3 linked regions of the Oreochromis niloticus genome follow. The protein of the gene in region 3 purifies or fractionates together with the protein of the main gene of each other region. This does not show direct contact. Links are inferred from orthologs where the notes say so. Each region holds a gene or a part of one and is shown on either strand. Other genes may lie near its edges. The genes, in order: gatad1, PHD finger protein 12 and kdm5a.

Region 1 (10,525 bases), on a different chromosome or scaffold from region 3:
GACTTGGAAGTCTCTTTATAGAGATGGAGGAGGAAGGGTGGAGAAATAAATAAACGACCACCTTCCAAACATCTTTTATGTCTCCTGGATAGATGTGAGCAGTTTGTCCCCAAGCTGGCACGACTGAAATGAAGCCCTGGACGCTGTGTTAAAGGCGTTTAAAGAGGCAGTGCGGTTTTTTCCTGCACCATAAGAACACATGTATTTGGCTTTAATGTTGCCTCATGTGCATTTATTTATTTGTTGAAAGCAGCTTACACAAAATGTGATTTTGCTTTTTGGGCCCTACATTATTACCGAAATTACTAGTAAAACCTGGCTGGTTTCCGGAGCTGAATAGTACCCGGGCATAACTGCACCAGCTTCAGGTCTAACCTCTTTTCTGTCAGCACCAGATCAGCGCAGTGATACAGGAAACGTACCTGAGGTGAGCGAGTTATAGGTTAGCTTTTTTAGAATTGGTTATTAATATAAGAACAATTACAAAACTCATTACCTCTGTCAGCTTTCTTCTGCATATGTGGCTACTCTGCGACTCTCTCAGCACACTGGAAGCCAAACTCCGTCCTGTAGAGGATAAAAGCAACCATTTATTTTTTTAAAAGAAAAGAAAAAATATTAATAAATCCATGTACAAATGAGCTATGACAGCATGTGTCTTTTCTGTCTTACCTTCTGGACTCTGCCTGGGCTTCGAAGCTGCCCAAATAATGAGATGACAATGAGCGCTAGTGATAAGACATTTCAAGTATTTCATTTCTAATAATAATAAAAAAAGAAGCTAACTAGATGTAACTTCTCACCGTGTTTGGACTGGAATTTGCCCATACTGTGATCAAGAAATGTTCACCATGTCCAGCCCAGAAAGGAAAAATAACTCAAGACATGAGGAAGAGTTTTCGCGGACTGGGAATTTCACCGACTACTCCAAAGTTTCACCGAGACGTTTATCCAAGAGTGCACAGGCAGAGAGAGGGATGACTGCCGCGCACTTCCTGCTTCGGTTAAATTCGGTTTGATTGGTTAGAGATCTGTGATACACGCGACCCAACCTTACGTCTGTAAATCAAAGTAACTGTTTTTATTGTGTGCGCGTTTAAACAACTCTGGACAGCATCCGACTGAGAAACGGACACAAACCACCGACTTAAAGACTTTTCAATGAGACGTTCACGGTCAGAGCTTCACTGACACAAGTGGGTTCATTCCAGTCTTTAGACACCACCAGTCTCTAACATTTTGACATAAATCAAACGTGACATTTGTTTAATCAGGATGCTAAAACAAAAAACAATCAGATCTCTCTGTTAATGTTTTTTTTTTTAAACATTTATTTGTATCATTTTTTTAAGGAACAAAAGACAAATCACAGGCAACAGTAGTGATGGAAAAGAGCTTTTTGTTTATTATCAAATACAAAAGTAACATTTCTATGGAAACTTGTTTCTGCCACTGGGAAAAAAAAAAAAAAGTGGTGTAAACAAGTTTCCATATGTTTCAGCATCACAGCTTGTGAATAACTTGTTCACAAAGCAATAAGACACATCCTTACCATCAACTTACAACTCGCCTTGAAATGTGAATTAATGAGCAGAAAACTCCAAAATCATTATCTCCTTAATAAATGAAGGAATCTCTGTATGCATTTTTCGTCTCTTCCCCTTCAAACTTGGCGGGTGTATGGACTGAGGCAGTGCCAAGTTTGATGTAATTCGGGGGGTGTCTCATTTGTGATGCTTCTTCCTGTTACTAGTCATTGAAAGACCCCGTCGCTCCTGTTGCTAGGCGTCACTAAAAACAAATGTCACATTTCAGACCGTCCTGTATCCTCACAGATGACACAGTCCTCCCAGATATCAGCGTTTATTACATTTAAACTTTATTTACATTTAAACCTCCACTGACTGCAACATCTACCACTGCAGATACTCTGCTGATGTGCCGGCAACTGCAGACCCTGCACTAGCATGATGAGAATGTACATTTATTTCTTTAAAAACAGAGTCCATGTCTTTAATCACAGTCCCACTAACTGCTGGCACTGACAGACTCTTTGACAGTGTGGGCCGGTGTGGGTCCTATGTGGGTCCAGATATAGCCTTTTTCTGGTCGTATTGGGATAGTAGGGAATGGGGTGCTCCGAGACTTGAAGTACTCAGAGGGGGCGTGGCACACAAACTCCAAATACTCCATCTTTCTTGGCAGATCCTCCTCTGGACCTATTGCAAAACATGTTTGTTTGTTTTTTTAAAGCTTAAATGAACAAATTCCATTAGAGCACTGCATGATCCAGAATAACTGCTCACCAACAATATAAGTGCCAGGATCGAACTGGTCCTTTGGGCTGGCTTGAGTGGGGATGAGCCACGTCAGTGCTGCACTTTTTTCACAGTACTGATCCTGCACAAAGCCTCGAATCTGAGCGTAGTAAGGCTTCCCGTCTTCTTCATCCGTTACCTTAATCACGTCTCCTATCTGGTAGTATACACCCTGTGATATATTGACAGTGATAAAGGATTAAGGTTTATTAAAGCAGTGATATAATTAATGCTTTGAAAAGATCAGAGCAATTTTAAGTGAAAGTATTGTTTCTCATGCCTGGCAACAATAAACACCGTACCTTATAAAATATGGATTCTGACGTGATGATAGTCGCTACGGATTCTGGTGCTTTGATTGGCTGAAAGGTTGGCACACACAAGGGTCAAACGCATGAACTCGAAAAGAAAGAAGAAAAATCTAATTTACATGATCAAACTTACATTTTTGAGTTTAAATATGTGTCGTCGTCCTTTTCCTTTGGTTGAGACTTTTTTCTCCGATGCAGGAGCTTTGTACTTGGTGCTTCTCAGACGTGCAGACCTTCTGTGGATCTCCTGCTTGGACTATAGACAAACACAAGAAGGGATCGGACAATTGACTGCAGCTTGTCAGTTGAAGAAGATGAAGAAAAATAAGCAATGAGACAATACTAAGACCAGTACTAACAACTACCAGTTTGTTTGTTAGTTAACTGATTAATCACTTAATATGAAAAATATTTCAGTAAAATGTGAAGCTATGTAATGTTTAAGGCATATAGTTTTACCCTTTAAGTTGGATTTCACTTGATAACAGACTGCTACATTACCAATTTTACTTAAAAATAAGGGTTAAATGATCTTGGGGGTTTGTTGAGATGTTTCGCCTCTCATTTAAAGATTTAAATACTTTCACTTTGTAGAACAAAAATGACTTTCATTTGAAGCATCACTTTTTATGTTCTCCCATCTGTATTTGGGCACAGGCTGCTGCACAAGAGCCTGAAAGTTGTGCCCAGTGCTTTCTCAGCCAATTATTATGATCAAATCTGCAACACCACATTTAAAACTCCTGGAGTCACACCGGCTTGTTTCTGTTAAACTGCTAAACTGTTTTACACATGAACAGTGAAGACTACAGTCTCGAAATGAGACCTGTGCTCTTCTAATAACTTTAGAAAAAATTCCCACAGACAGTGATCCTGAGTATTTAAACTGAAATAGAAAACCTTCCTATTTCAGCTGAGTGTGGTCTCCGGGAGCGCCATTATATTTTCCCTGTAGGATTATCTGTGAATGATGCAGCTGCAATGTCTGCACACAGCTCCAGCAGTCTAAAACAGAGCAAGAACCGCGCCTGAAGACAAACTCATGAGGCTTTACACCATCACAAACAGGCCTGGCTCTAATCTAGAAACACTGGGTTTCACTGACCTGTTTCCCTCCGCCATTGCTGGGCTGAGTGATGGAGGACAGGGAGGGTCCTGACGCCCCGCCGCTGGCGCTCTTTCCCGTGCAGCTGTTACACAGGATCTCTCCCTGGTTTCCTTTCTTCCACATCGAGGAAGAATTAGTCTTGCAAACGGCGCAACATGGTTTCAAACCCAGCGGCATCGTGGCCGCTTCTTAAAACGACGCCGGTGGGCGAAGAAACGACACAGAACTCACTGATAGGATGAAGATGCTCCGTTTGTGTGGCTGTGACTCCGACAGGGAGGCTGAAATCTTCCTTCTGTGGCACTTCGACTTTAAACAAACAGGTATGGCTCTGAGTTACTTGCGAGAACAGCCAAATTGATCAGAAACCTGGATTGTTTATATCTGTAGCCCATTTATAGCCACTACTAGCGGCACCATTCTTCTTCTGCGCTGGCGCCTGCCATCAGTTCTTCTTCTTTGGTTTAGATTTAGGTACAGGACTAAATCACGCGACGCCACTGGACTGGAGGACACAACGTTTAAAGAGGCAAGTGAGCTTGTGAGAGTGTGAAAATGTTGATTAATTTAAACCAATCGTGTTGTGGTAGTGATAAATTACGATTGGTTAAAACAACACAATGAGTAGGTAATATGTTTAGCTGTTTTTCTCAGATGCATAATGTACAAATTATTTATTAATTTGCCCGCTTGCACAAAATGAGTCTTACCGTTCCACTTTTTACTAACTTAATTTTTCTTTTACTTTTTTGAAATCATTGTTGTATATGTAAATTTTGATGTATAATGCCCTCACTATGCGCCTGTGACACTGCTGTTTATTTATTGTAAGTTGTACTATTTTTATTCATTATCCTGCTGTAACAAAGTTACAACAAATTTCCATTCATTCATCCACCCGTGTACAAAGATAAAAGATAAATATTTTAATTAAAGTGTTTTTATATATGTGTGTGTGTGTGTGTGTGTGTGTGTGTGTGTGTGTGTGTGTGTCAGCTTGTAAAAACCAGCCTCTCCGGCAGGAGGCGATGTTACAGCGTTGAGTCCGCCAGACGGTTTTAATCTGGTCAGACGAAGAAGAAACAAACCGCGTCACAGTTCAAAACAATACTTGGAAGTTCCGCTTGTCTCGCGCCCTGCTCTTATGAAGATGTCTCAAAACAGCTCAGGCAAAGACGACCAAGCGTCAGGCAGCAAAAAGCCGATCTCTCTGCCGATATCCAGGGTGAGGCTGATCATGAAGAGCTCCCCTGATGTCTCCAGTATCAACCAGGACGCTCTTTTCCTCACCACCAAAGCTACAGTAAGCTAAACCTCATCCGCAGCTCATTCATTTGCTAACACGTTTAGCACCGTTAGCTTGTCTAGGGCATGTGAGCTGAAGCAGCGCGTTTGTGTCTGTCTCCTGTTGTTTTGTTGTTGTTTTAGGAGCTGTTTGTACAACACCTGGCTCTATCCTCCTTCAACAACGGCTCAGGGAAGGAAACAAACAGCCTGTCGTACAGCGACCTGGCCAACACTGCTCAGGAGACAGAGACTTTCCATTTTCTCACAGGTAAGAAGCACCTGCAGGCACCTCAGCGGCCCTATGATGCACCAGCTGGTTACAGATCATACCTCAGACTGCACAGAGTCCAGATTGTTAGGAACAGTGAATTAATACTCCTGCCGTTGCTCTACGCACTGACTCACACAACGTCCGAATAATCGATTAATTTCCTGTTTCACACGATGTCTGAACCTACCTGCAGTGGCCTCACCCACAGTCTAAGAACTACTGTAATGATAACTGATCAGACTTTGGATTATTAGAGCGTTTAATGTGGTAACATAACCCAGCATCAGCAAGTGTAGATAAATGGGGAAACTGTGGTTCAGTTGTGGTCGTGTGTTTGCAGTTTCAAGGGATTTATGCTTCTGTTTCAAATCTACATCATAGAAACGCAACCCTAGAAATGTAACAGCTGTTCCATCACATTATTGTCTCCCCTAAATTGCTTTTGTTGTGTTTTGTGCACTTCTAGCTGCACCTCTCAGGTCCACTGTAAGGGACAAATATGTTTGTTTCCAAAAACAAAAACAAAAACAGAAAATAACTGACCACAACAAAAAGGAGAAAAAATAGCATTTTATTTGTTTCTGTCATAGCTGGTACTGCATATAAAACACTGGGACACCACCCTCAAGTAATAAACACACAAAACACCACAAAAGCATCAAGACTGGTAACAGCGTCAGCCACTTAAGTACATTACCCTGTAGGCTCTACAAAAAAATCATCGCAGAAGTCTAAAGGGCAAAATCTGGTTGAGCTGCGGTAGCATATTTGCAGTCCACTGGCAGCTTCAAACTAACTGTCTACCTGCAGAGAGCATCTGCTGTCAGATGCATCAAAAACATGTCATGTAACCGGTCTGTGGGTCTTTCTTGTGCTGTTGATGGTCCGTCAGCTGACTGTGGAAAAGAGTGAAGTTATAACATACAAAAACCCAAAGAGAAACTGAGTGTTAAAAGCAATCAAAAGTGTCCACTCCAGACATTGTCTGTGCTTTTTATTCTGTATTTCTGATCTTTGATGTTTTTTCTCCTCATGCTTCTCCCGCTCCTGGCCTGCCTGTTAACATGTGACCCTTGCAAAGCGAGCATTGGTTGACAGCCCCTGCCTGTAGCATCTCTGTGGTCAAATACAACAACAAACGGACATGATTCCATAAATTAAGCATAAGCAGGAGGGGTACATCAGGAACGGCATCTGATAAAACATTTGTACCAAATCAAACACGCAGATCAATCCGCTCTGGTTATCCCTTAGGAAATAAGGGAGCAGCTGACAGTACCTCCACCAGCTGAACACAAGAAGACCAAATTAATCGATTAATAAAAAAAATAATTAAATTAACTGATTAAGAAAAGAATAAGTATTAGAAACGCTGCTTGGTATGATGTAGTATAAACAAAAAGGCTCTAAAATCTCCATAAAACTAAAACTCATTTTAACAGTTTTAACAAAAATCAAAAGTTGTAACCTTCAAGAAAGGATGAGTTAGTTTAGCCAGCTTTACTTTAAGGATTATTTAAAGTAGCACTGTTTTTAAGTCTCTCAGGCACTGCTTTAACCCTTAAACACCATCAATAAGAGTTTTATCTCTCTCATAACTTCATTTTATCTCCTGTGGTGTTCTTGGGTCTGTATCCAAACAGCTCACACTCACTCACTGCTTTGTTACTTTTGAACGCCGGGCTGTCTGAATCCAGCGATTCAGGGGGTTTAAGGTGGAAATGCTCGGGCATGTTGCTGCTCGTTTTGCCTGTGATATCTGCGGTACTTCTGGCTGCTCAGTTGTTTTGGGAGAGGTCACCAGAGCGTGCATGTTTGATTTGGCACAGAATTACACTGGCTGCCCTTCCTGATGCTTTCCTTCTAGCCATTTATCCAGGCTGGGGGCAGAGACTAGGTGTACACCAGATTGTGTCCCCTTCTGTCGAGGCTTTGTAAGGCGAACATGTTAAACACTACACCGCGGAGCCACTTGTGCTCAGCATGTGTCTTCTGGACATATGATGATGTCAAGGTTTTAAAAATGGCTTTTCTGTAAAAACATTTTGTAAACAGTTTGTTATAATCTATAAAAAGTGAAATATCAGATGCATTTTAAATATACAGAAGCTTAAACATTAATGTGAAAGTAAATTTTAGTGCAGCTGTGCAGTGTGTCGACTCTTTGACAGCCAAGTTAAAACCATCTGAGTCTTCCTAATACTCTTGTGTTAATATCACTCACTGACCAGCAACAAAAAATGAGATCTTTTCCTTCAACTATGCATTTAAAAAAATTTTTTGCTTTGTTTTCCTGGACAGATATTCTGCCTAAGAAGATCTTGGCTCAAGATTACCTCAACTCTTTGGAGCAAATGCAAGAAGAAGAAGGAGCTGATTACTGAAACAGGTGGATGGTCCACATTTTCCATCTGGACAGATGTTATCACATCTACTCGTCCAGCCTGTCGCCGAAAGCAAAGTGACCGTCAGTAAAAGACACTTGAACTCTCAAGTTCATCTTCAGGGCTTTTGTAAGAAGTTAGAGGACATGGAACTAAAAGCAAACCCACACGGGGTCAATGTGAAATCAAGTGAAGACTCAAATTTCAACCCCCCCCCCCCCCCCCCCCCCAACAGTAAATGAAGTTCAGCGATCCTTTTCTGCAAACTGACAGATATATTTTGTGTGAGCTAAAGTACTGTTATTACTAATATATGATGCAAACAGGAGTTCAGAACAAGTTTGCATATCAGCTTGTGTACTTAGACTGTTTATGGAGGTTCCCGGGTAGCACTGACTTAATTGGGCTGCTTGATTTACGTGCACCGTTATCAGAAATGTTTCTGCATAACGGGCCAGTACGGACTTGTTCCACGTGAGTAGCTGAGACATGGAAATCCAGCCCACACAGCTGGAGCGCAGATGTCTTAGCTCCTGTGTTACTGTTGGCTTAAAAAAAATAAAAGTGAGTGAAAACTTTATTTTAGAGGTGCTGTGAAACATTGATCTCAAACTCAGATGTGCTGTTGCTACTGTTAACCATATATTCGTGTTTTGATTTGACTGTAGAGAACTTGAAATTTACTAGAACTGAAAAACTACAAAACAACTGAACATGCTCTGAAGTTCAAAATAAAATCTCAGACTCTAACAGATGTAAATATTTAAAGTGTTTCAGCTTAGACGGCGTACCGCCATCTGTGTATTTACAAATGTGTGGTTTAGATTTGATATTTAAATAAAAATTCATGCTGTCTCATTTTGCTCTGAATGTTTTTTACATTTTTTGTAATACTGCAGTTTATGAATTTGCTGTGTTAAACCACTCGCTTACTCTCCTCTGAGCTCCTCGTGTTTCCTGCAGTTTAGAGGTTTAATGTGACCATGACATCTTCATAGCTTTGCATGCAGGTAATATAGAGCCATGGTAAGAAGAAAAAATGCCCTCTTTTACGATTTTTATTTGACCTATTATACTGGGTCATTTTTTCTTTAACAAAAGCTTAACCAGAATACATAGGCAGTGTATTTTAAAGAGAAAGAAGTACATAAAACAAAAGTGCACCCCATGATTTAGCAGCTTGTAGAACCACGTTTAGCAGGAACTAATCGTTTTCTGTGTGTCATATCAGTGAGGAGGAATTTTGACCCACTGTTCTTTATAACATCGCTTCAGTTCAATGAAGTTTGCAAAGACTCTTTTATGCACAGCTGTCACAGCATTTCAGTCATGTTGAGGTTCAAACTTTGTGCCTCTGCAGCACCTTGATTCTTCATTCTGCTTTTTCCCCCAAGTGTTCCAGAGTCCAAATTCCCAAATAGCTCCACTTTGGTCTTGCCTGTCCAAAGATATCGTTTCAGACGTTATGCAAACCTAAGGCATGCTGCCATTTTCTTTTTAGAAAGAAAGGGGTTTTTCCTGGCAAACCTTCCAATAAACGCCACACATGTTCAGGCTTTGTCTAATTGTACTGTCATGAACTTAAATGTTTAACATGCTGACTGAGGCCTGGAGTGTGAGATGAAGCTCTTGGGTTTTTTGCAGTTTCTCTGAGAACTGCACGGCCTGACTTTGGAGCGAATTCACTGGGACGTCCACTCCTGGAACGTCTGGCAACTGTCTTGAACGTTTTCCATTTGTGAATAATCTTTCTTACTGAAGAGTGATGGTATTCAGATTTTTTGAAAATGACCTTATAGCCCTTCCCAGAATAATTGGCAGCAGCAGTCGCTTCTGTTGCTGATGTATTACCTCCTTGGCATTGTGTAAACATGCACTTGAACTCTTCAGACCACCATAAACGTCTGCTTTTATAGAGGTTCTCACACCTGCTGTTACTATTCCTATTCATTCCTATGGAAGCAATAAGAGTGTGCTTAGTTATTTTTTATACAATGTTTTTGCAGTATAGGTTAGTTTCTATTAAATAAACAGTAACGTGGTGTAATGTGTTTATTTTAAGAAATGCTACAATGTTCATTTTGTTCCGTTATGTCAAACGTTGACTGTAAAACTAGACTTTACAGCTTTGTGTTCATCAGAACTCCAAGAAAATGTAACATTTATTCATTTCTGCTGAATCTTGGTTACACGTTTTATTTTGGCAGGTGAGCTGGTGACATAATAAGGTGCAAATCAAGTGTGTTTTGTTCTCATTACAAACTACACTCATCCTGAGCATGCATGCATGGGCTACATCGTTATGAGACATTCATATCAGATAAATACAGTTCAAATAAGGGGTTTCCAGCATCGTCAGTGATGGATGAGTTTTCTAAGTCGAAGCTGTATATTGAGAAGTGTCGCCTCCAAAGTGGAAAACTTCTCCTCCAGGTGGTTAGCCACGCGGTCTCTGCCTTCGAGAGCATCCCTCGTATTTGCGAGACGCTCCTTCATGCTGCATGGGATGAAAAATCACAAGCAAACCTGACAAGCGGTCAAATTTGAACAATTCCCTCAAATGCTCACATCTAATAGAGCCAAATGTCCATACTTTAAATTTATATTTGTGCCAGAGCCTCGTCTCAACCAGATGTCCAGACAGATGTGTGCAGGAAAATACTAGAAATGACTCAGATTGGCTGGAAGCTGTTTTCACTCAGCATGTTAGGCAGTGGGTTATTTTGGGCCAATAAAACACTGGTCCAGGGTTCCCCAGAACCTCACTAATAATAATTTTGGCAAACCCGACACTGGCTTGGATCACTCTTTGGATCCAAGCCCAGCTGGAAATGTAGCTGCTTTAC
Region 2 (10,939 bases), on a different chromosome or scaffold from region 3:
TTCGTCCAATTCTAATCTTTGCGTAATATTTCTAAAATAAGAAATATCCTGTCTCAGAGTGGCGCTGATAAACTACTTCATGCATTTATTACTTCTAGGCTGGACTATTGTAATTCATTATTATCGGGATTGTCCAAAAACTCCCTGAAAAGCCTTCAATTAATCCAAAATACTGCAGCAAGAGTACTGACAGGGACAAGAAAGAGAGAGCAGATTTCTCCTATATTGGCTTCCCTCCATTGGCTCCCTGTTAAATCCAGAATTGAATTCAAAATCCTGCTCCTCACATACAGCATATGTAAAAGCATATAGTTAGGGCTGGATCAGTTGACCCTCAATACTCCCTTAGTTATGCTGCAATAGGTGTAGACTGCTGGGGTAGTATTTTTTCTTCAGTCACCTTTCTCACTCACTATGTGTCGCGGCAGATGGCCACCCCTCCCTCAGCCTTGTTGTGCTGGAGGTTTCTTCCTGTTAAAAGGGAGTTTTTCCTTCCCACTGTTGCCAAAGTGCTTGCTGATAGGGGGTCAAATGATTGTTGAGTTTTTCTCTGTATGTATTATTGTAGGGTAAAATATTATTGTGATTTGGCGCTGTATAAATAAAATTGAATTGGTCCAATTTATCAGTACATAGAACACACTCTTCGGGATACATTTCAAAAGCAGAATGAATCAAATGTGTAACAGAACATCTGTCACTCACCTTCTTCCGAACATTGCAGCGATGACACATCCATTCCCCTGGAGGAAGCATTTCTTCACTCAGAGGTGGGTTGCTGTCGTAAGAAGACAGAAATTAAATATTTAATAACAGAAAATGAATCATAATTTCTAATTCCCATTTCATTCAAATGAAAAACTGATTTGATCCCATTGTTTTGGCATCAAAACAAAAGTCTAGTTTCTTCTGTCTCCATCTGGTGGGCCAATGGCTGCATTACAATAAAAACATCCATACAGTGCAAAATAATGGCAGTTTTCAATGTTATACTTTCATTACAGTAGCTGACACATTCATTAATAATCAATTGTTCCCAATGTTTTACACTACATACTGCCCACATTCAAGAAGACTTCGTCAGATCCACCTCATTTCACCTTATCATTTTTTAAAATTATGTCTGGTTAACTGTTACCTTGGTATTTCCATCACTCATCTGCTACTTACAACCACCATTCGTTTAACAGTTATTCATAAAATTACACTTAGTGACCAAACTGAACCATCTATCCATTATGCTTTGTTACTCCTTTCTTTTTAACTTGCATTTTTAACCATGGTGGTGCAGTGATTAGCACCGTTGCCTCACAGCAAGGAGATCCTTAGTTTGATTCTACCACCTGGCCAGGCCTTTCTGTGTGGAGTTTGCATGTTCTCCCCATGTTCGCGTGGGTTCTCTCTGGGTACTCCGTCTTCCTCCCACAGTCCAAAGACATGCAGTTAGCAAGGTTGGGTAAATTGATGATTCTAAATTGCCCATAGGTGTGAATTTGAGTGTGAATGGTTGTTCGTCTCTACGTGTTCGCCGTGCGACAGACTGGCCAACTGTCCAGGGTGTACTCTGCCTCTCGCCCTATGGTAGCTGTCATAGGCTTCAGCTCCCCTAGCGACCCTGACGAGGATAAGTGGAAGAGAATGGCTGGATGGATGCATACCATTAGTTTGCTTGTAGTAAGCGTATTTAACTACTTTTTCTTTTGATTCATTATTATTTGTCTATTTTAACAATTTATTCATTTCTATTGGCTGTTTGTTTCTATAGTTTCTAGTCAACTTTAAACTTCTTTTTTCCCCCTGATGCATCTGGTATATGAATTCATAATTGCAGAATTTAACATTAAAATTAACTGGACTTAAGACATACAATACATATCCAGTAAAATGACAACAATAATAAATTTCTCCACAGATTTAAAAAAATGAAAAAAGTTTTTTTAATGATGCTTTTGTGTTTGAAGTGGTCACATGTGAGATGCACTGTGCATGGGACAACTGAACTGTCACGCCATGTAACACTGTCTTTTACATTATAGACATTAGAGCAGCAAAATTCATGAATACATATTCAAAATCTGAAGGCGTCCACACGTTTGGCTATATATGTACAGACGGGTTTTATACGGTTTTCAGGTGACAGTCTGTAAAAGTAGTAATACAGAAAAAATGAGACGGGTATTTATTTATCGCTGTGGCACCGAAAATACCTCAACAAACGCTGTTATACCCGTCCAAAAAAACTGCGGAATATTTCGTCCGTATTATTAATGCACCCCTTTTCCATCAGAGTTGATTTTAAAGGTTTGTAAGATGGCGGTGGAAGAAGGGGGGAAAGAGCAGCGAGGTCGCCATATTGTAAACAGAGGCTACATTTTTACCAGCAGCTCCGCTGGTTGCAGCCTCGGCAGGAGGGGAGGACCGACTGCAAGCTAATTCTAGCCTCTTGCAGACACGACATATTTAAGCATTTATTTTAACTCCTGTATGTTATAATTTCATTAGCGACGCGTGAAAATAAGTTTGCTATACACTTTCAAACTCTATAAAGTCCAAAAGTCAGTATATAAGATAGACGACTGGTATAACGGTGCACAGTCCTCCCAGAGCAAGAAAACATTCTGGTCTGTTACTTAAATTATCAGTTGCTATCTTAGATCACCAAACGTCTTTTAATTAACTTCAACTGCTTTATTTCCTGAGATTCTGAAAACGTCTGCAAGTAAATTCGACATGCAAGCAGTTTCCAGGGAAAATGGGAGTTAATAATAAACCTTACAGAGGGCAACACAGCGGCTTCAAGCCGGCCTCCATGGTTAACGTGAACGGAGAACACAGCGGGAATTTCGGAAGAACAATTGATGGTTAAAGTTGACTTTTCATTGATATAAGCGTGAGCTTTTGTAGCGAAAAAACTATGAGGCAAAATGAAATCATTTAACAGATTATTTCTTTACACATTTCAAATCATGTGTCTACGGGAATCGGAACCACCGAGAAACGGTAACCGAGGACAATCACTTGAGTTAGCATTCAGCCATCTTACACATATAACTGACGGGGACTCTTAGTTGTTTCCGCTTGTTTCATCAATTCTCTACGTGTTTTTTAGTCAAATAACTTACCAGCACTGGAGATGGAAAGCTGCAGGACAGTGGTCACAACACAGCAAGTCTCCCCCTTCCCTGCAACTATCGCAGGTGTCGTGGTTAGTCGCCCTGCCGCTCCTCCGGACGTCCCTCACCAGTTTCCGACTCCGTTTCTCTACCTCTTCTGACTTCGGGGGCGCCAGCAGTGTTTGAATTTGCTGAAAAAGTTGTTCAGCTGTTTAGTGCGACATCGCGGCTGTCCTTTGCTTGTCTAGTGTCCGCTGTGACGTTTATAGAGAGCGGTAACAGTAATTTGTGGCCTCCGTTACCAAGCCGAATTAGCTAGCTAAGCGCTTGACAGCGGGCTATAGTGATGATGACAGCTGCGATTCAAATTTGGTAAAATATATTAAAGTGCTAGCAACAGAGGAATGTTTCGCTTAATTAAGGCCTTAGACATAGCAGCCTTACCTCCATTAAGCCCCCAGAGGTATCCAAATCGTACACAATCGTTGGGGTCTCCATTTTGTCCCACATTCATCCAGAAACAGACTTTGCAAAAGGAATTTGCGAACCAAGTGCCTCGGTGCTCACAATAACCACGATAAATCCTGTAAGAAATTACTTCCCGAATGATTTCGGTGAGAGGATGTCTGGTAAATCGACGTTAGCTATCGTTAGCTGCCCAAAGGAGCTAGCTAGGCAAACGTCAACCAGTCAAGGTTGTGAAGCTAGCGGTCTCACTAGCTGCCGTAGTTGGCCATAAAAAGGTAACAAAAATGACGTCTAACTATGTAGTTAAAATACTGATTCCTTAGCACCACTTTTTATGTGTAAGTGCCACGAAAACATACAGAATTTTCTAACAGTAGACTACTGCTCTTAGCTACACAATCCATCTGCGGCCTAGCTGGCCAGCCATGATTCTTGTTTCTGCTCCTGCAAAAAGGAGCGCTGTAAATCTGCAAAGCCCCCCGCTCCCATTGTCAAAACAAAATGTAACCAAACAATCCAGGAGAAAACTAGGTGTAGTACGGCCCAAAACCTGGTTTCCGACAGCGTCCGGAATGTATAATCCTCAAATCAAGTATGTGGAAATGCAAATTTGGTTGATGTTATTGTTGTGAAAAGGCTGTGCATCTATACTGGCTGCTAGCAACATCCTTACAGTTGGCGCAACCGCGCACACCGGACACGCATGCGTATTGGAACGGATATAGATAATTTCGGATACACTATAACGAACCGGTAAAACATTATCTACACGGTGTTTTTGACTGGAACTGACGTTTTGAAGTTATTTTTTTTGCTATGACTTTCCCTGTAGATTACCTTATAGCACTACTCATTACTATTGTGCACACGTACTTGTGCTGCTACCGCGAGTAGCATTAACTGCTCCTTGCTTCAATTGCTTTATTGTTTGTTTATGAACACTACTCATGCAATTTGCACTTCTGCTACAATAGCGTTTCAGCTGCTCAAATTACCATCTTAATTCTTCTTCCGCTTGCTCAACATGTAGTCTATTTCAACATGTAGTCTATGTAGACAGCAAGTCCATCCATCCATTCTCTTCCGCTTATCCTTATCGCGGGGTGGCTGGAGCCTATCCCAGCTGGATGACGGCAAGTCAGTTATTCTAACAGAAATGTTCAATTCAGATCAATTTAGTTTTAATTATATAGCACCAAATCACACCAGCTGTCACTGTCATCAAAGCGCTTAGTTATCCTTCTACCAATCAGACTTTTCTGACAGAGGGCATTGTCTATTTTGCAGTCAAAGTCCTCACTGGATTAGTCTGCTGAAGTCTGAAACACATTCTTTAATTAAGAGAGGACCAGACTGTGCAAAGTGAAACGCTGAAGTAATGCACAGATCACTAGAAAACAAAGACATCCAAAACATTAACAAATCAATAATCCACCTCTATATTCTCTTAAACCAAAGATTTATTTAAGAATTTATGAAGCCCTAATTCCCGTATTTTCCATCTAGCACATAAATAATGTAATTTCTCACTTAAATACAATTTGTATTTATAGCAGGTTTATCGGGTTTTTGTTAACCAGATCACACCAACTATAGAGTCTGACCAGATCTCGAAACACCAAATGTAGGGTAAACAATATGTGTGTGTGACACCTTACTAATGCTGAGAGGTGATGAAAACTAAATCTGGAAACAAAAAACAATGCTAGTTAACAGTTTGGCATCAGTTATGTGAAGGACAAATATACTGCCATTTATGTGAATGAAAATTTCCAAACTTAAAATAGAAGGTATGATCTCTTTTTTTGTGGAACCATGTCTATCATATTAAGTATTAAAGTATTAAGTATTAAAACTGTTTAAATATACTTTAGCAGCCAAACTGTCTGTTTCAGTTTTAATAGCAATTAATCCATAGGTCAGCACATGGACTGATTCTTGGTAAATGGACTGATTGCTATGCAGCACTTTTCTGCTCTTGCAGAGCACTTATAGCACATCAGTTTTGAGCCACACTTTTTCATCTTGGTGTTCTCTATTGCAAACTAGAGCACATTAAAATGTGGGGCATTGCATCAATACATGGGACTGGTAGACAAGGAATAAAAATGCTGTGCAGGCCCACTTAAAGTAGGCGCATGATCACCACATCCACAGCAAGTAAAGGTCCTGCATTTAAGTCTCAGTAAAATAGAAGTATTTAGATATTAAGGTAAAGATAGATTTAGATCATTTATCCCAGAACTGGGAAATTCTTGTGTTACAGTAGTTGATGTTTGACTTAAATCAAACAAACCTAAATAACTTAAATAAGTAGAGTGGTGTCCAGCTTAATAAAATCTTAACAATTAACAGCAATAATAACTAGTCGAAAATAAAATTAGGCACAATAAAGTAAAATAAGTATAACTTTAATTAGTAAAAATGTCCATTCATTCATTAATTTTCTGCTGTTTATTCAGGTTCATGTTGCAAGAGCAGCAGTCTAAGCAGAGAAGCCCAGATTTTCCTCACAACAACCACTTCTTCCATCCGGGGTGTCTCCCCTCATCCGGGGAATACTGAGACATTCCAGGCCTGCAGAGATGTGTGATCTCTCCACTGAGTCCACTGCCCAGAATACCTCACCTATAGGAAGTGTCCAGGAGGCATCCTAGTCAGATGCCCAAACCACCTCAATTGGCTTCTTTAGAATTTTCCTTTCAAAACAAAAGCAACAACAAAAGAAGAACATTAAAACTGGCTAGCTAATTGTTGGTCTTCTACTTCACCGTGTTGTCAGTGTGGGCACCCAGGTACTTGTACTTCTCCACCACATTAAAATCCTGGATAGGCACAGGCTGTAGTTGTTTTCTTCCTTCTGTAGTTGATGATCTCTGGTCTTACTCAGAGATGATTTCTTCCAGACGACTCCACAAAATCATCCTCCTGCTCCTGTCCATCACATATACATCCAATCACCGTAGAACTGTCAGAGTAGTTCTTTGACCCAGAGTTGTACCGAAAGCCTGAGATGCACAAGTTGAACAGGAATGATGAAGGTGGCACTCTATGTTGTGCATATCTTGCCAATACCCGGTGACACTGGGCAGTTATCAGAAAATTGCATGTTAGTACTCATTGTGCAGAAAAATGTTTCTTTTCATATCTAATGTATTTAAATTGATATTACTGCAAAATTAATGTGCATGTTGCATTATATTTAACTTAGATTGTTTACTCTAGAGCTATGCATCATATTCTATATGGTAATGTAGCATTATTCTGCTCTAAGAATCATATATATTTAAAAAGTTCAGTAAGCTCATACTTTTGCCTTCAACTCTTTGACATTTTCTAGCAAATCTAAGAAGGGCTTTTTTTATATATATATATCTTAAGAAAATTGGAAAAATTGTATGTTCATAACCAGTAAAACAGCACTTGTTCATTAAGTGCACTGTAGGAAATAAATAAAGCTGTGAGAAAAGAAATGGAGCAGAATACAATGGCAATATTTACCTCTGAAACATGTGGAGAGATTGTTGCAGAAAAAGTAGCTCAAAATTGTAAAATACTTGAGTCAACGTACCTTGTGGAGAAGTGTCTGAGCAATTTAGAATCACTTAACCTAGCACCGTGTGTGTGTGTATATAAATATGGGTATATGTAAAATAGGTAGATTGATAGGTGTAAATGTTAGTGCGACTGGTTGTGTTGCCCATCTCTTTGTGTTAGCACTGTAACAGACCTGCACACTGTCTTGTCTCTTGGGATTTGTAGCAACAATGGATGTGCTAATTGAGACAAAGTTCTAATTAGTCCTTTATCCTAAACTTGTACTTTTGATACCTGTTTTTTTTCTAATTCTTGATTTCCTTTTTTGTTTTCTTCAGTTGTGTGGTTCATTACCCATATTGGCTGTTTTTTTAATGGGGCTGATTCTAAAACCTAAAAATGGTTGCCTTGGAGAGGGGAAATGTTTGCAATTTTAATGTATAGTGGACAGAATTACCATGAATGATGGGTAATTGCTAACCCTCGCCAGCAGAGGGAGGCACTGCTCAGTTGTATTTGAGTAGCTGGCAAAATACTGGTAGTTAGCTAATGTGATTTTGTGCACAGAGATATATGACATTGCATTTTAGAAATGTAGTCCCGTGTTCCAGTAATGTTACTAGCCATCACATGTTATACACATGTCCAGCATGACCACTCACCAGGTTACAGTTTATTGAACATTTTAGTGCATATGTTAATATGTACATTAATATGTAGTACAAGAATGTTGAAAATGAAAAATCTTTTTTACAAAATGAATTTTCAGTTAATATTTTTTAAAGCTGAGTCTTTTTTAAAATCTACATATTTTGATCACATTTGTAAAAGCCCTTAAAAAATATTTAGTTGCTGACTTTAAGTCATTTTTCTGATGAAGGAGACTTGTAAGGTTGTAATTATGAAGTATTATATTGTGATAAATGTATCCTGTTGTGCTAAATCACTAAATTACTGTGTTTATTTTAAGATATTTTTGAGAGTATTGTATTTTAACAGTATTAGAGTAAGAGAATTTCTAAGGGTTTAAAAAAAATTGCACACATATATTTTCCTCTCTCTATATGGTAAATGGCCTGTATTTATATAGCGCTTTTATGGTCCCTAAGGACCCCAAAGCGCTTTACATATCCAGTCATTCACCCACACATTCACACACTGGTGATGGCAAGCTACGTTGTAGCCACAACCACCCTGGGGCGCACTGACAGAGGCGAGGCTGCCGGACACTCGCGCCACCGGGCCCTCTGACCACCACCAGTAGGCAACGGGTGAAGTGTCTTGCCCAAGGACACAACGACCGAGACTGTCCGAGCCGGGGCTCGAACCGGCAACCTTCCAATTACAAGGCGAACTCCCAACTCTTGAGCCACAATCGCCCCTATATATAGGGTTGTGATTCCTTAAGGAATGTAATATATTTAAATGAAAATCAAAACATATTTTTTATACTTGGAGAAGATACTTTACTTTTCCAGGTTTGAAAAGAGAAGCCAAAGTGGAAATACCTGAAATCTGCTTTCTCTTTTTTTTTAAAAGGCCAGGAGAGAGCAACCCCTGTGGCTGGAAAAAGACTCCAGATTTTCTATGGGAAAACAGCCCTGGGCTCCCTAGTTGTTTGAGCTTAGTAAACATGAGTTATGGCTACATGCATGTTTTATATTTTATCTATGGTCCAAGTTTCAGTCAGCTGATAATACCAAGAATTCGGACTCTTGGTCAGGCTCATCCAGGCTTTTGGGGATTGGTGTGACACTTATTATTTTTTGCTGCTAGAACTGGTAAATGCCTCTCTATTCTTAATTCCTCCTACAAAAGGATAATTTGCTAGGTTGTTTCTCCAGCTGTGGAAAGGTCCATGTGCAAGATACCTAAATGTCCTAAATTGCTAAAGTAATCAGAGATATGCACACTGAGCAAAGCCTCGGAACTAGACTGATAAAGTAATCTCCTGCTCCATTGCACCAACTATGCTCTGTGTGTCAGCCAGTGTGGGTGTTTACATGCACATAAATAATCAGATCCACCCATCAACCCATCCATCTGCCCACTGTTGTAGGGTATAATCCTGGACAAGTCACCAGTGTGTCTCAGGGCTAACAGAGGAAGACAACCATTTACATCAGAATCAGCTTTATTGACCAAGTATGTGTACACATAAAAAAAAATGGGTTCTGACTATTTCTTTGCTATTGACAGACAATACTGACAACAAGATATCAACATGACAACATGACAGACAACATGACAATAATAATGTATTTATTTATTTATTATTTATTTATATTTCTTTCTTTCTGGTGCAGAGTACAAAGATGTTGGACCGAATTATGGAATAAATAAGGGATGGATAACTAGTATAACATGCATGTTTTCGGACTGCGGGATGAAATAATGTAACTGTGATGAATGACCATTAAGCAGCAAGGCTACAATCATTGCAAGAATAGTCAGGCTTTAGTACAGCCTGTTTTTTTGTAAGTTTTGTGGCACACTAGTGGCCTCTTCCAGCAGCACAGCAAACAAAAACCTACACTAACTGGGTAATTGTGCTGATGATCTATACTATGGACTGGGTAATATGTTAGGACTGAAAGGATGAAAAAAAGACCTATAGAGGGCTGAAAAAAATGATTTGCCAGAATAATTTGCTGAAATTTCTCTGTTGCAACTCAAAGTGGTACTTGGTAGTTTGTATACAAATGTGAAGTGCAACCTTGTGGTGTCAGATGGACCAAAACATAACATCCCAGAGTTCTACTGAATTTAAGTCAGGCCGACGCAGGGACCAGTCAGTGGCATTAATTCCTTCATACTCCAGGACCTGTCTGCATACTACTGCCACATTAGGCATAAAAGAACTGTGCAGACATGAAACCGGCAATTATTTGAGCTCCAGCTGGGGGCTTACCCGTTGAGACAGGGGAAACCAGAGTATGTGTTTGTGTGTACTGTCTTCTGGTTTGCGGGTTACGGCTGCATCCATCCCATGTGAGTATGGCAGTTCATATGGGTGATAAATGTGTGGGACACGGCATCTCTATGTCTCTGTAGCACGGAAATGGTAGATGTATGCTGTGTTTGGGCTACCAACATGCTATGCTGGCCAGGGAAGCTCCACAATCTTGCATAGACTGTTTCATATTGCCAAATTTTTGAGATGATGGGCAGGGCATCCAGGGCTCTGGATATTGCCTTCCCTGAGAACCCTGTGGCAGTGGCCTCCAGGTTTGAAGACATCACACAGCCACGGTGCTCTCAGCTGCAGGTGCTACTGCTGCCTGATTTTAAGGACCTGGTGTGCAGGCAGTTTGATGCCCCGGCTGCTTTGTACAGGTGGTCCATCGCCTGCAGAAAGTCCTCTAGCATGCATGAAAGAGCAGGTCATCACCACAAGTAGTGCCTTGGCCTCATCTGGGTGGTGCGGCAGCATCTCTGACTGTTTCAGTCACAGCTCCAGTGGGACAACCAGGAATGTCTAAAGAGGCTGCCTGTTGACCCCGCAGCCATGTTCTGCACACAGAACATGGCTCACACGCTCGAGACAGTTGCTGTGTTGCTCAGGAGTTGTCAAGGGGCCTGCTCAGGCGCTCTGCAAGTGCATGGATGCCCAGGGTTGCTGCGCCCCAGCCTGCTCCTGATGCAGCATGGGGCCCTGGGGATACCAGGCCTCAGCTGGCAGCTTTGCGTAGACATAGCACCAACATGTAGGGGAAACAGACAGGACGTGCAGCCAAGGCTCGACTGTCCTCCAGCCATCCCCCTCCATCTTGACCTTTCCGGAGGGCAGACCGGCCAGCCCCCTTCCCTGTCTGCCTTGT
Region 3 (10,833 bases):
GTCTCTCTGGCAGTAGCCGCTCTTTGGTTTGCAATCCATCACCTTCTCCATCTTTATTCTTCTCATCCTCCTCATCGTGCTCCTCTTCCTCTACAGCCTCCTCGCCAACTCCCTCATCTACCTCATCCCCATCATTTCCCTCATCATACAACCTTTGGAGGCCCTAATCAGAGGCAAAATGATCACTGAATAGGTTACCAAAGAAAACCAGGATGTTATTTGGCCCAAAGGTTATTACAAGCTATTAGTAATAGGACATTTATATACAGTATGAAGTGTTTTGGGAGAAACTTCCTTAAGTACAATACATATACATGCAATTTAGACAAGAAACCTCAGAATCTACTTATGATGGTCTAAAACGCATTAGCTGTAGTTTTCCTCCCAATTATGATATAAAATGCAGTTAAACAGCATTCAGCACCACTCACAGTTAGTGTGGCTCCAGTCTGGAAGAGCTCATAGGGGTAAAGGATCCTCTCATAGTGAGAACGTAGAAGAGACCCGGTGCCTTTTCCAGGAGGGTAGCCCATTCGGCTGGCCACCTTGGACCATAATTTTTCTTTACACACCGTCTCAAAGCCGCCCTCGGATGACACAATCTTTAATGCACACAAGGAAAACATTTTTTTAGCTCTTACCACTTTATCTATCTAATCATCCAAAATATTTTTTAACATCATAAGGTAAAAAAAACATTTTTTGTGCTGCCAAAGGATCCTTATTTACAAAAATTCACTAAAAATCCATTTTTAGGCTAAAAAAACAAAAATCTGAACAAACAACAAACAAACAAACAAACAAACAAAACAAAAAAAAAACATCCATGCTGACTGGTTCCACCTTGCTGAGCTGGTAGAGGTCCAAGAGTTTCCTCTCCACATGAGGGAATCGAATCTTAGATCCTTGCAGCTCCCAAAACTTTGCGATTTGATCCAGAAAATTGAGCTTTATGCGAGTGAGCGCCTGGAAAAGCAGCAGAGAAAGAGCAAAAGGACAGATTAGAAAAATCAGAGGCTGGTATTCATTTTGTTTCCACATTTTGGTACCAGGAAAACCAAGAAATTTTCATGGGACACACACACACAAAACAAAAAAAACAGTATGTCCAGACACCAGATCTATTTGGCTAACTATCATACATAAATACTGTTTGAGATCAGTGAAAAATAGGGAATGCAGTCTGGTAATGATCATCTGTGCATTTCTAATATATAAAAAAAAACAACTTTGCAGCTGTCCTGGTGCCCTGAACTGAAACGACACATATCCAAAAATTGACTTTAAGAAAGGGCATCCATGACATCAAATGTTGGACACAATTAAAACTAAACTGAAAAAAATAATAATGCAGCTTTTTGTTTTGATTTAATAACCTTTTCATAGTCAAAATAAAAACTGCAGTGTTTTTTCCCCCTGAGTGAGACTTTTCTTTCTTGGTGTCCACATCTCCTCAGACCCGACATGGTCTGCCCCCATTCAGGTCCAGTCCAAAAAGGCTACATAGTGCCTGTACCACCTACAACAACTGAGGAAGTTCGGGGTCTCTCCAGTGAGCCTCAGGACTTTCTATGCAGGCGCTGTGGAGAGCATCCTCAAACAGAACATTGCATCCTGGTATGGGAACAGCTGTGTTAAGGATCAAAAAGCTCTTCAGAGAGTGATCCATACAGCAGAACGCTGCTGCACGACTGCTCTCCCCTCTCTACAGGACATCTACACCAGGAGATGTTGGTTTAGAGAAGCTCAGATATTGAAGGACCTGTCCCAACCAACTGTTTCATCAGGCAGAAGGTTCCGCACCATCCGGGCAAGAACAGAGAGATTCAAGATAAGCTTCTATCCCCAGGCCATCCGTGTCCTAAACCAGAACATGCCGCCCACTCCCCACCCACAGCATCCATAACTGACTTTAACACTTTAACACCCACTCAAACAATGCACTTTTAAAGCACTTTTAAGAAAGTTAATGTTCAATTTTAGAGAACGACTGGATGGTTCGAGTAACAGCATAATTTTAGCACTTAGAGATCCGACAGTGAGTGGTTCCCGTTACTCATCCAGTCTGAGAAAGCACTGGTTGAAGTGTTTGTGTATTTATTGATTTCTTTTAAGTAATTGTGTTTTATGTATATTATGGTTTTATATTTTTACTAATGCTTTATATGTATATATGTATATATGTGTATATATATATATATATATATATATATATATATATATATATATATATATATATGTGTATGTGTGCACGCTCGCACATATGCATGTGTATGTGTGTATATGTGTGTGTGTGTGTGTATATGTATATATATGTATATATATATTTAAGGTTTATACCTTGTGTTTGGGGGGGGGGGGGGGGGGGGGGGTTGTGTGTGTGTTTCTGTCTTGTTTTTATGGACATGAAGTCTGCCAATAAAGATTGAACTGAATTGAATTGAATTGAATGCACATTTTTAGATTTTCAATTTAAACATTTCCAGATTGTTTTATTTTATTTAATTAACTTAATGTACATAATTCACTTACTTACTGCATATAATGATACTTAATGCATATAATGTGGTCTTTTGTGTAATTCACTTAATGTATATAATTTTCTCTCTTTTTGCACAGTCAAGGGTGTCAGGACACTTTCCACTGCGTGTTGTACTCATAACTATGCATTTTACAAATAAAGGATCTTGAATCTTAATTATCTATCATACACACAGCTAAAGCAGTAACAATAATGGCTTCAGTCTCATTATAAACAATGACTGGAGTTATTTTATCTATTCATTCATTTGTGGCAAACTCACCTCAAGTTCATTCAGCCTTTGCACCCGAGGAGTGAACCGGAAGTTGCGTACATCACAGGCAAACGGAGGCTGCCAGTCCTGATTGACAACAGAAAAGAAATATTACATTCACCAAAACAACCTGAGCAATGAGGAAATCATTGTGACAACACGTGACTAGCTTAAAATTAAAATCTAAATGTATCTGTTGTATGTGGACGCCATTAGGCCCAATGTCTACCATCGTTCCACTTTAAAACCAAAACACCAGGTGGGAGTGAGGAAAACAGCTACATTTTCTTCGCACTTTCGCCCACAATTTTTCTGAACAACAAACGGAAATCAGTGTCACAAATGTTTAATTAAAAACTGAAAAGAAACTGAGCCTCGTTTGACCTCTATTTAGACTAATGGCAACTAGTAGCGTCGCTGCGTTTCGTAAAATCCACGCAGGCCCAAAGTAAGCCAGCCCAGGATCACAAAGAGACAACAAACCAAAAACCTCTGCAGACTTTCAGTGTTATAAAAAAATACCTGAGGGGGTCGGATTTTGCAGATGCCCGTCTTCTCTGCAATAGGTCGGATCTTGTTGATGAATCCCAAAGGATCCGAGAAATCCTCCCAACTCGGCTCAAACACCGGGCATTCAGGAGGGGGCACGAACTCCGCAAACGCAGACATATCGGCGTCCTTCCAGTGACACAGTCTTTAAAAAAAATTAAATCAGGGATAAAAGTGCGCAAAGTTGAGCCTCAGGAGTCCATAATTGTGTTAGCTGCAATTGTTTCTTCCTTCTTCTTCTTTAGTGTCCATCGTGATTCTTCCAATCTCCCCAAATAACAAATCACGTCAGTGACAGGAGCATCCCAGGGGCGAAACCTAATGTGGTGTGAAAAGTGAAGGCAGAAAATACAACAAGAACCGAGTCAATGATGCATGTCACTCCTGTATCCGTAAACAGAGGGCCAAACCAGGCCGGGGTATCGCCACCAAATTCTCCCCCTACCTGGGACGGAGGGCAGGGTCAGTCCAAAAACGCCACCATTGCTCATCTCAAACCAAAGCTTCAGGAGGAAAAAAAAATCTGCGGTGAAGACTTGGCCGCAGGCGAGTTGGAAAAGAAGTTTCACAATACCCAACACACAAAAACACTCCGTCTATTATGTTAAAGAAGCTAGCATCGCTTCTGCACTACCTGGGCAGTGCATGATTATTTTTTTCGTGAGGATGCATTTCCAACAAACTTATCTAAGGTTAGCTGTAATGTTCACTAGCTAACGTAATCACGCTAGTGAACTCGTCGATGTCGTCCAAAATAAACACCAGCCTCTTCGTTCTCCTACTCCTGTGGCACCAGTCAAGCTTGAAAACAACACGGATAAGCCTAGTACCAAGCGTACACTGTTGACTGTTTCCTTCTCTCCGCACATCAGCCCCCATTCATTGAAGCATTTGAGGCAACGGAGAACTAGCACACAGCTAATTTGGTAAGCTAAAAGAAGCTTAGCTACCGCTTCCCGTTGCGCAGCTAACATTGGCGTTAGCTGGCACAGTCGGCTGAGAAGAACGGTCCTCCATGGTTTAAGCAGGTTAAATGAAATCGCATATACAAAAGCAATACTCTCTTTGCTTTGTTTTACCGGAGGCAGCTTTCTGTATATTTAAACGTCGTCTATACCTATTGTAGTCGGATTAGCAAACGTGCTAGCTACAACTAGCAAGGAAAGGGAAGAGCTCTTATGGTGCTTTCATGGACACTCGGAAAAAGTTTCACTACTTTTGAATTCATTGCTGTTTTTTCATCTAACTTTGATGTAAGCGTGAAGAAAATATGTTTCGTAACAAGCGCTAATAAATTCATATTAGTTGCAAAAATCTGCTGGATTGATTGCTGTCACAATCAGCAGTACGAATGCGGTTGGCAGTGTCAGTAATGTATCTTCGAGCAGATGTCAGTTAGAGGGGATCTCCTTAATGTGGCACACACTCAGGCTATCAGCAGCCCCATACGCCTGTTGATCACATATTTTGTTTATACATGCAACGTGTCAGAAGAAATTTAGTTGGAAGGCAGCTTAATTCAAGCCGTGGGTAAACTGGGTGTATAAAAGCTCAGCAAAAGATAAAGAATGATTATTTTTAATTGTGCACCTAGTTGATATCAACAATCCAAATGTCTGTAAATGAGCATGTCTCTTTATTGTGTTAGACACTTTGTTGCTGAAGTTGAACATATCTGCCACTAGTTTACATAGGCCGAGACAGGTTAATTTCTAATACAGCATAATTTACTAGAATACAGTAACTGTGTAAATCCTGAGCCACCCCTCATGACTTTATATTGTGCTAAGTGAATAAGGTGCAACAGTTTATAAAAGTATGCATGGCAAAAACAGAGTTTGTATAATTCTTATGAATTTGAAAGTTGATATTTGGTTTGACCACCATTATACTTCTACACAGGCTGAACTCTCTTATGCAATCTTTATTCTAATCTCTAGTGCTCAGGAATAGTTCTCCGGGCTTCTTGAAGAACAATCCAAAGCTTCGGATGTTGGCTGCCTTTTGTTTTGTTCTCTGTTCAGATGATCCTGTTTCAATAATGTTGAGGTGTGGGCTCTGCAGTTACAGTGTGTGTTTTTCTATCTATCCATCTATCCATCCATCCATTATTTTTCAACACTGTCATGTTGAAAAATAAAACCGTTATCATTTGGCTTCATTCCAGATGCTATTGCATGGTTGATCAAAATCTGATGGTCCTTTTATGTGCTCCCCTGAAAATGGTCAGGTTTAAGAAGTGGATTGTATATGTGTGAAAAACAGCCCATGTCAGAGGAAAACTTTGAAAGCCTGGAGAACTATTGTTCAAGGCCACTTTAAATTAAATTACAAGAAACTCTGGCTCATCAGAAGTAAAATATAAAGAAGTGAAGGCTGTCTCAAGTACATAAGAATCCAAATATTATAACATAACATGATCCATGTCAATTCTAAACTACTAAATAAATAACAGCTGCAGTAGGATGCACTTTACATAGCATACGGAGTGTTACGTCATCTTCTGAACCAAAAGCTACGTAAAAATCTAAGTTTTAGAATTAGAGTTTGATTTTATCTGTTGGTAAAAGTGGCTGAGGTGACTGTATTTGACTTAATACAATATTTTATTGTGTTTTTATTTTAAGAAGGATGAACTACTTAGGCTGGCACAGTTGCTGCTGTGGGCTGTATCGTCCCCTCATAGCATCAGTTCCTGGCTTTAAAACCAGGATTTATTGCTAGCTTTATAGTTTTCTGGTAGCGGTTTTCTCAACACACATGCCGAACCCTCTGCACAGTATGGCCCAGTCACCAGCTTGCTGTCAATGACAGATTTAAGCAGGAGGGATGACAGGTAGGTAAATGATGCCAAAATGTGTGACTGTATTGTAGCAAACACCTACTTAAGTTTCAAATCTGTGAAACTGACAGTAGGCTACATCACTGGCAGCCTCTGGCTTTTCCTCACAGGAGGCTAGACTGGCAATCGAACAACTTACTAACCAACTCCAGGCAAAAAATCATCAGCTAACTTAACAACATAGGTATTTACCTCTGTTTGGTCAGGACTTTTTTTCGTTTTTACAAGCGGTTAGTCTTGACCAACAATTAAAAAGTGTCGTCTGTCCGCAGGTGTGGAGGCAGTGTGCTGCGCTATGTGCATGTGGGGAGTGGGCTAACTAATTATTACATTTTAATGTGAAGTATGTTTTAAGGTTTGTTTTTAAAACTTTACATTGTAAAGAAAAGACTAACACAATAATCTAGTAGCACTTAGAGACATTGGCATGAAAAAATTCTTACTCGTCTGTGGTTCCCCTCAGGCCTGTGGTCAGGTTTCCTCAACAGGTCAACAAACATTATGGAGAAGAAGCTTTGGTTGGTCAGTTTTTTAAGCTAAACAACATAATAATAAATAGAAGGATACCTTCAAAATCAACGTGGTCAACCTCAATATAGTCAATGTGAAGGTTCACAGGTTTCCACAACAAATATCAGATCAACAAATATTTCAGAAACACTCTGACATGCTAGCAGTAGTATCTAAACTGTATAATAATAATAACTAGAACTCATCTTTTCTGATACCAAAGCCCATTTTAATGTATTTAAACACAATTTTTTTTTTCTTTTTGTAGAACCTGTGCATCGAGAACACCTGTATCATTGCGCATGACAAGGTTCACAGTAGACAAAGTCCTCACTCCACCAATGGGGAAACATCATGGATGTCTTGAAGGCCGATGACCGCTTCATGTGAAGATCTTTACCATCTGAATCATGTTTCTCTGATGGAAAAGTACAGCAAAAACACTCCCTGTCAACTATTGGCAGCTTTAATGACTCTACAGTGCACTTCAGAGGCACAGAGCAGCAACTGCACCAACTAGGATCAGGGAAACTTTTTTTGTTTTTTTTTTGTAGTTTGAAGCTCCTAAAAAGTGAGTCATCTGTTAGCCTAGATTATCATGAAGCTGTTAGTTTGGTGTAGCATAATGACTGAAAGCAAACAGAGGTGTTAGTGTGTTGTTGTGTAGTTGCCATTCGATCTAACATCATTTATTGCTGTTTTCAGCATGCTGGTCAATGCCATCCAGAGAGCAGGTATGACTGAGCTTCTGAACCAGCAGGTGGTGTTCACCTTCTTCGCTCTCACCAATGATGCCTTCAATGCACTGCCGCAGGATGAAGGCAACAGGCTGATGCATGAGTTTTATTCAACCACACAGCTTCTCTTTATTCACATTCTTAATTTATCCACATGGACAGTTTCCAGATATGTGTGTAAAGCATCTCTCTTCTTTACAGCAGCTTATACTGAGAGGTGGCTTGTAGAGATTTCTTAGTGGGGCTATTTTCCTGCCATTTATTTGGACTGTGTGGGGTTTTTTTATTTTGGGGGGGGGGGCTGTAAAATAAAGCAGAACAGTGAAACCACACAGCCTCTCATTTGATACCATGTCTCCTTCAGCCTCACCTCACGTCTGTCTTGACTAACATCTCGGTTTGAAAATGAAATTGAAGAACAATCAAATCATTATGTCTTAGTCTTTCTTACATTTTTACAACAAAAGTTGCTCTGTAATGTTCTCAGATTCTACCTATAACAGTGGTTGTGACTCCATCATTCTAACATTTGGGAATACTGCATCAACCCCGATGTGATCCAGGTTTGAAACTGAGCTGCTTTCTGCACAGTTTAACGTGAAGGAGTGAACGTGCTTTTAAAATGATCTTGTTTCAAGACTGAACTTCAACATCAGCCGTGAGCTGTTCAATGAGTGTTTCCCATCAAAATCTAATTTCAGACATAAGCACAAAACAAACTCATAGTCTAAATCAAATCAATAATAAGTCACCAATATCATTAGTTTAACTTTTATCAGCTTCCGTTCATCTGAATCTTTGGAAACAGTGAGGATAACCTGTTCTTCTACAAACATGCTCTCCCTGCTTCATGACTTCATTAAATTACCAGCATTTATTTAGTTAGTATGAGTGGACTCTGGAACTTCATGTCAGGGTTAGGGTTGCTCTCTGTGTTTGGCTTCTTTTAAAGCAGAGCAGGTCTGAAGCTGCGGCTCAGGTGTGAGCTGTGGAGGTGAGTGACAGCAGCAGGTAATACAGGACAGGTGCTGCTCACAGCAAGGCACCATGCAGCGCGCGCATGGGAAACCAACCGAACGAAGGTGGAAAAGGTCTATAACTCAAACCTTTCAGCACCGTGCAGAAACGCGAGCATCTGACCCAAGGTAACCGAGTCACATGACGCTCAGGCGATGGGGAAATTCAGCAATCACAGCATGAACTTGTTTGTTTCAGACTTATAAGTTCATAAGTTGAACTTAAGTTCCAAGGTGCTCCCTGGTCCGCCGAGAAATATAATCTCTTCACAGATTTCTAGTTCTTTCCCTGAATTCCCTCAGAGTTGGATGCACCTGGAAAACCAACAAAAAGATGCCTGAAACACTTCAACTTTTCCCTTTTGACACAAAGTGGCTCTGCTCCACATTTCTTTGTCCAAGCTCATGAGCCCTTCTCCAAGTCTGAGTACTACGACAAGAGACGTGGAAACCTAATTTCAAAATAAAGACCAACTTTGAGTGAATTTCACCTTCAACATTAACAGACATGTTAAGTACATAATAACAAATATCATTTAGTCTTGTTCCACACTTTAGATCCAAATGACACACCCTTGTACTCTAGTAAGACCCTGTCAATATCAAGGCCAACTTCTTTTGGATTTCAAAGTAAAAGACCATTTCTAATATGTGTGTATGTAAATGATGGCGTGAGTGTGTGTACATCTATGGACATCAACTTGATGTTTGCTAAAATGATAACTTATTAATTCATATAGAAAACAAGTTTTTTCTGTGAAAAACTAAAATCAACGCCAGAGAGGGTTAAAATAATTTTATGAAAAAGTTAATTCCACACCAGCTACAGGACTAAAATATTAATAGTAAGACAGCAGGAATAAATAACAAACAGGAGAAATATTGTCAAAGGAAAAAACCTTAGAGAAGCAAGAAACACAAACTCAAGTTATGGCATGTACATGGAAGAGGCTTACTGCGTGGCAAGACACAGGCAAGTCGCGCAGAGCCTCAGTCCATTCTTTATTTTATAGCAGAGAATAGATTACACAGCATCCTAGGTGGAGCATATGTAATAGAAAAACATCTCTAGATATGGTTATCGCCAGGGTTTTAATAGTTTTGCAATTTTCATTAGTTTTTATTTTTATTTCGTTTTGACTTCAGATTTTCAATTTTATATTAGTTTTAATTAGTTTTTACCAATTGTTTGATAGTTTAGTTTAGTTTTTATTTTTTTGAAAATCCTTAGTTTCAGTTTAGTTTTGATTAGTTTCAGTTATAGTTTTAGTTGCGTTTGCAATAATTAAGTGTAACAAAATCCCAGTTTCATCATATCAGTCATGCTCTTCTGCTTATCCTTGGGTATGTTGCTATTCCAGCTACCATACCCTGCACCCTGGACAGGTCGCCTGTCTGTCGCAGGGCTAACATGCAGAGACAGACAACTCACATTCCCACCTATGGGTTCTTTAAATAAATAAATAAAGGCAGATGAACAACCGTTGATACCAGGCAACTATAAAATGTATATCTTGGCCCCAATGAGACTGTTAACTCTTGCAGCACCGGGTGTTAAGGCAATTGACTCACACAGTTATGTAGATATCCCAGTCCTGTTGTCTCGGGATGCATCACGCTGCCTTGCCTGGGGTTAGCTTCTGTTTCTGGGGATGAGGGTTGGGCGTGCTCCCTTACCTTCTCCAGGTAAGCTAGGTTAGCCTTCTTGTGTGAGCTTTTCAAGTGCACTTTAAGGTTTGTGGGATTTCTTTCCCTTTAGAAATGTCCCTCATAATTTGTCTCGTTCCGCTACAAGACACTTGCTTTATCCAAAACACAGTCATATTCAAAGTAATCCCAAATTGGACTCTGACGCTTTCTCCCGACTTTTGTTGACATGATGCTACGCGTGGACGGAGCGGCAACACAGACGACCCGACTGAGGTACTTGCCACCTGCTGGCATAATAAGGCACAGCAAGAACATAACCTGGAAAATACACTTCATTCTCACCCTAGACTAACGTATGACACATACACATAAACGAAAACTAAACACATTTTCTCTATAAATTCAGTTAATTTTAGTTAGTTTTGTGAACGGTCATTTCAGTTTTAGTTAGTTTTCCTTTTATTGCAAAGTCTCGTTTTTATTTTTATTTCCGTTAACGAAACTGTTTTTTATTCGTTATTTCGTTAGTTTTCGTTAACGATAATAACCTTGGTTATCGCATGAGTGGCCGTTATCCAAAAGACAAGAGGAACTAGTATCTTTTGTCATATCAGCTTCAGGTTGGAACTGTCTCTGCCTGAGCGTGTGTGACTTTGTAACTTCCTTACGCATGCTTCTGTTCCTTAATCTGTAGGTTACAGGCACATCATGTTCACACAAGAAATTATACTTAT

Evidence for each region.
Region 1: the proteins of kdm5a (region 3) and gatad1 purify together in Homo sapiens (affinity purification with mass spectrometry; 6 studies listed by BioGRID and IntAct, with this or other methods). This does not show direct contact. The link is inferred for Oreochromis niloticus from reciprocal best matches to the Homo sapiens genes KDM5A and GATAD1.
Region 2: the proteins of kdm5a (region 3) and PHD finger protein 12 purify together in Homo sapiens (affinity purification with mass spectrometry; 3 studies listed by BioGRID and IntAct, with this or other methods). This does not show direct contact. The link is inferred for Oreochromis niloticus from reciprocal best matches to the Homo sapiens genes KDM5A and PHF12.

Annotation. Positions count from the first base shown.
Region 1 is NC_031985.2:21,142,376-21,152,900, reverse strand, and holds gatad1 (GATA zinc finger domain-containing protein 1), read right to left. Parts: upstream 4,203-10,525; 5' UTR 3,915-4,202; coding exon 3,735-3,914; intron 2,886-3,734; coding exon 2,763-2,885; intron 2,681-2,762; coding exon 2,621-2,680; intron 2,491-2,620; coding exon 2,307-2,490; intron 2,220-2,306; coding exon 2,029-2,219; 3' UTR 1,380-2,028; downstream 1-1,379. Other genes in the region: protein naked cuticle homolog 2, read right to left, coding at 497-567, 673-699, 804-828; chrac1 (chromatin accessibility complex protein 1), read left to right, coding at 4,882-5,040, 5,166-5,292, 7,597-7,679; uncharacterized protein si:ch211-57n23.1, read right to left, coding at 10,035-10,176. UniProt on the Homo sapiens protein: Component of some chromatin complex recruited to chromatin sites methylated 'Lys-4' of histone H3 (H3K4me), with a preference for trimethylated form (H3K4me3).
Region 2 is NC_031979.2:4,237,134-4,248,072, forward strand, and holds the start of PHD finger protein 12, read right to left. Parts: upstream 4,291-10,939; 5' UTR 3,624-4,290; coding exon 3,558-3,623; intron 3,305-3,557; coding exon 3,123-3,304; intron 779-3,122; coding exon 706-778; intron 1-705.
Region 3 is NC_031981.2:6,308,655-6,319,487, forward strand, and holds the start of kdm5a (lysine-specific demethylase 5A), read right to left. Parts: upstream 4,492-10,833; 5' UTR 3,465-4,491; coding exon 3,318-3,464; intron 2,883-3,317; coding exon 2,805-2,882; intron 967-2,804; coding exon 844-966; intron 603-843; coding exon 432-602; intron 164-431; coding exon 1-163. UniProt on the Homo sapiens protein: Histone demethylase that specifically demethylates 'Lys-4' of histone H3, thereby playing a central role in histone code. Does not demethylate histone H3 'Lys-9', H3 'Lys-27', H3 'Lys-36', H3 'Lys-79' or H4 'Lys-20'.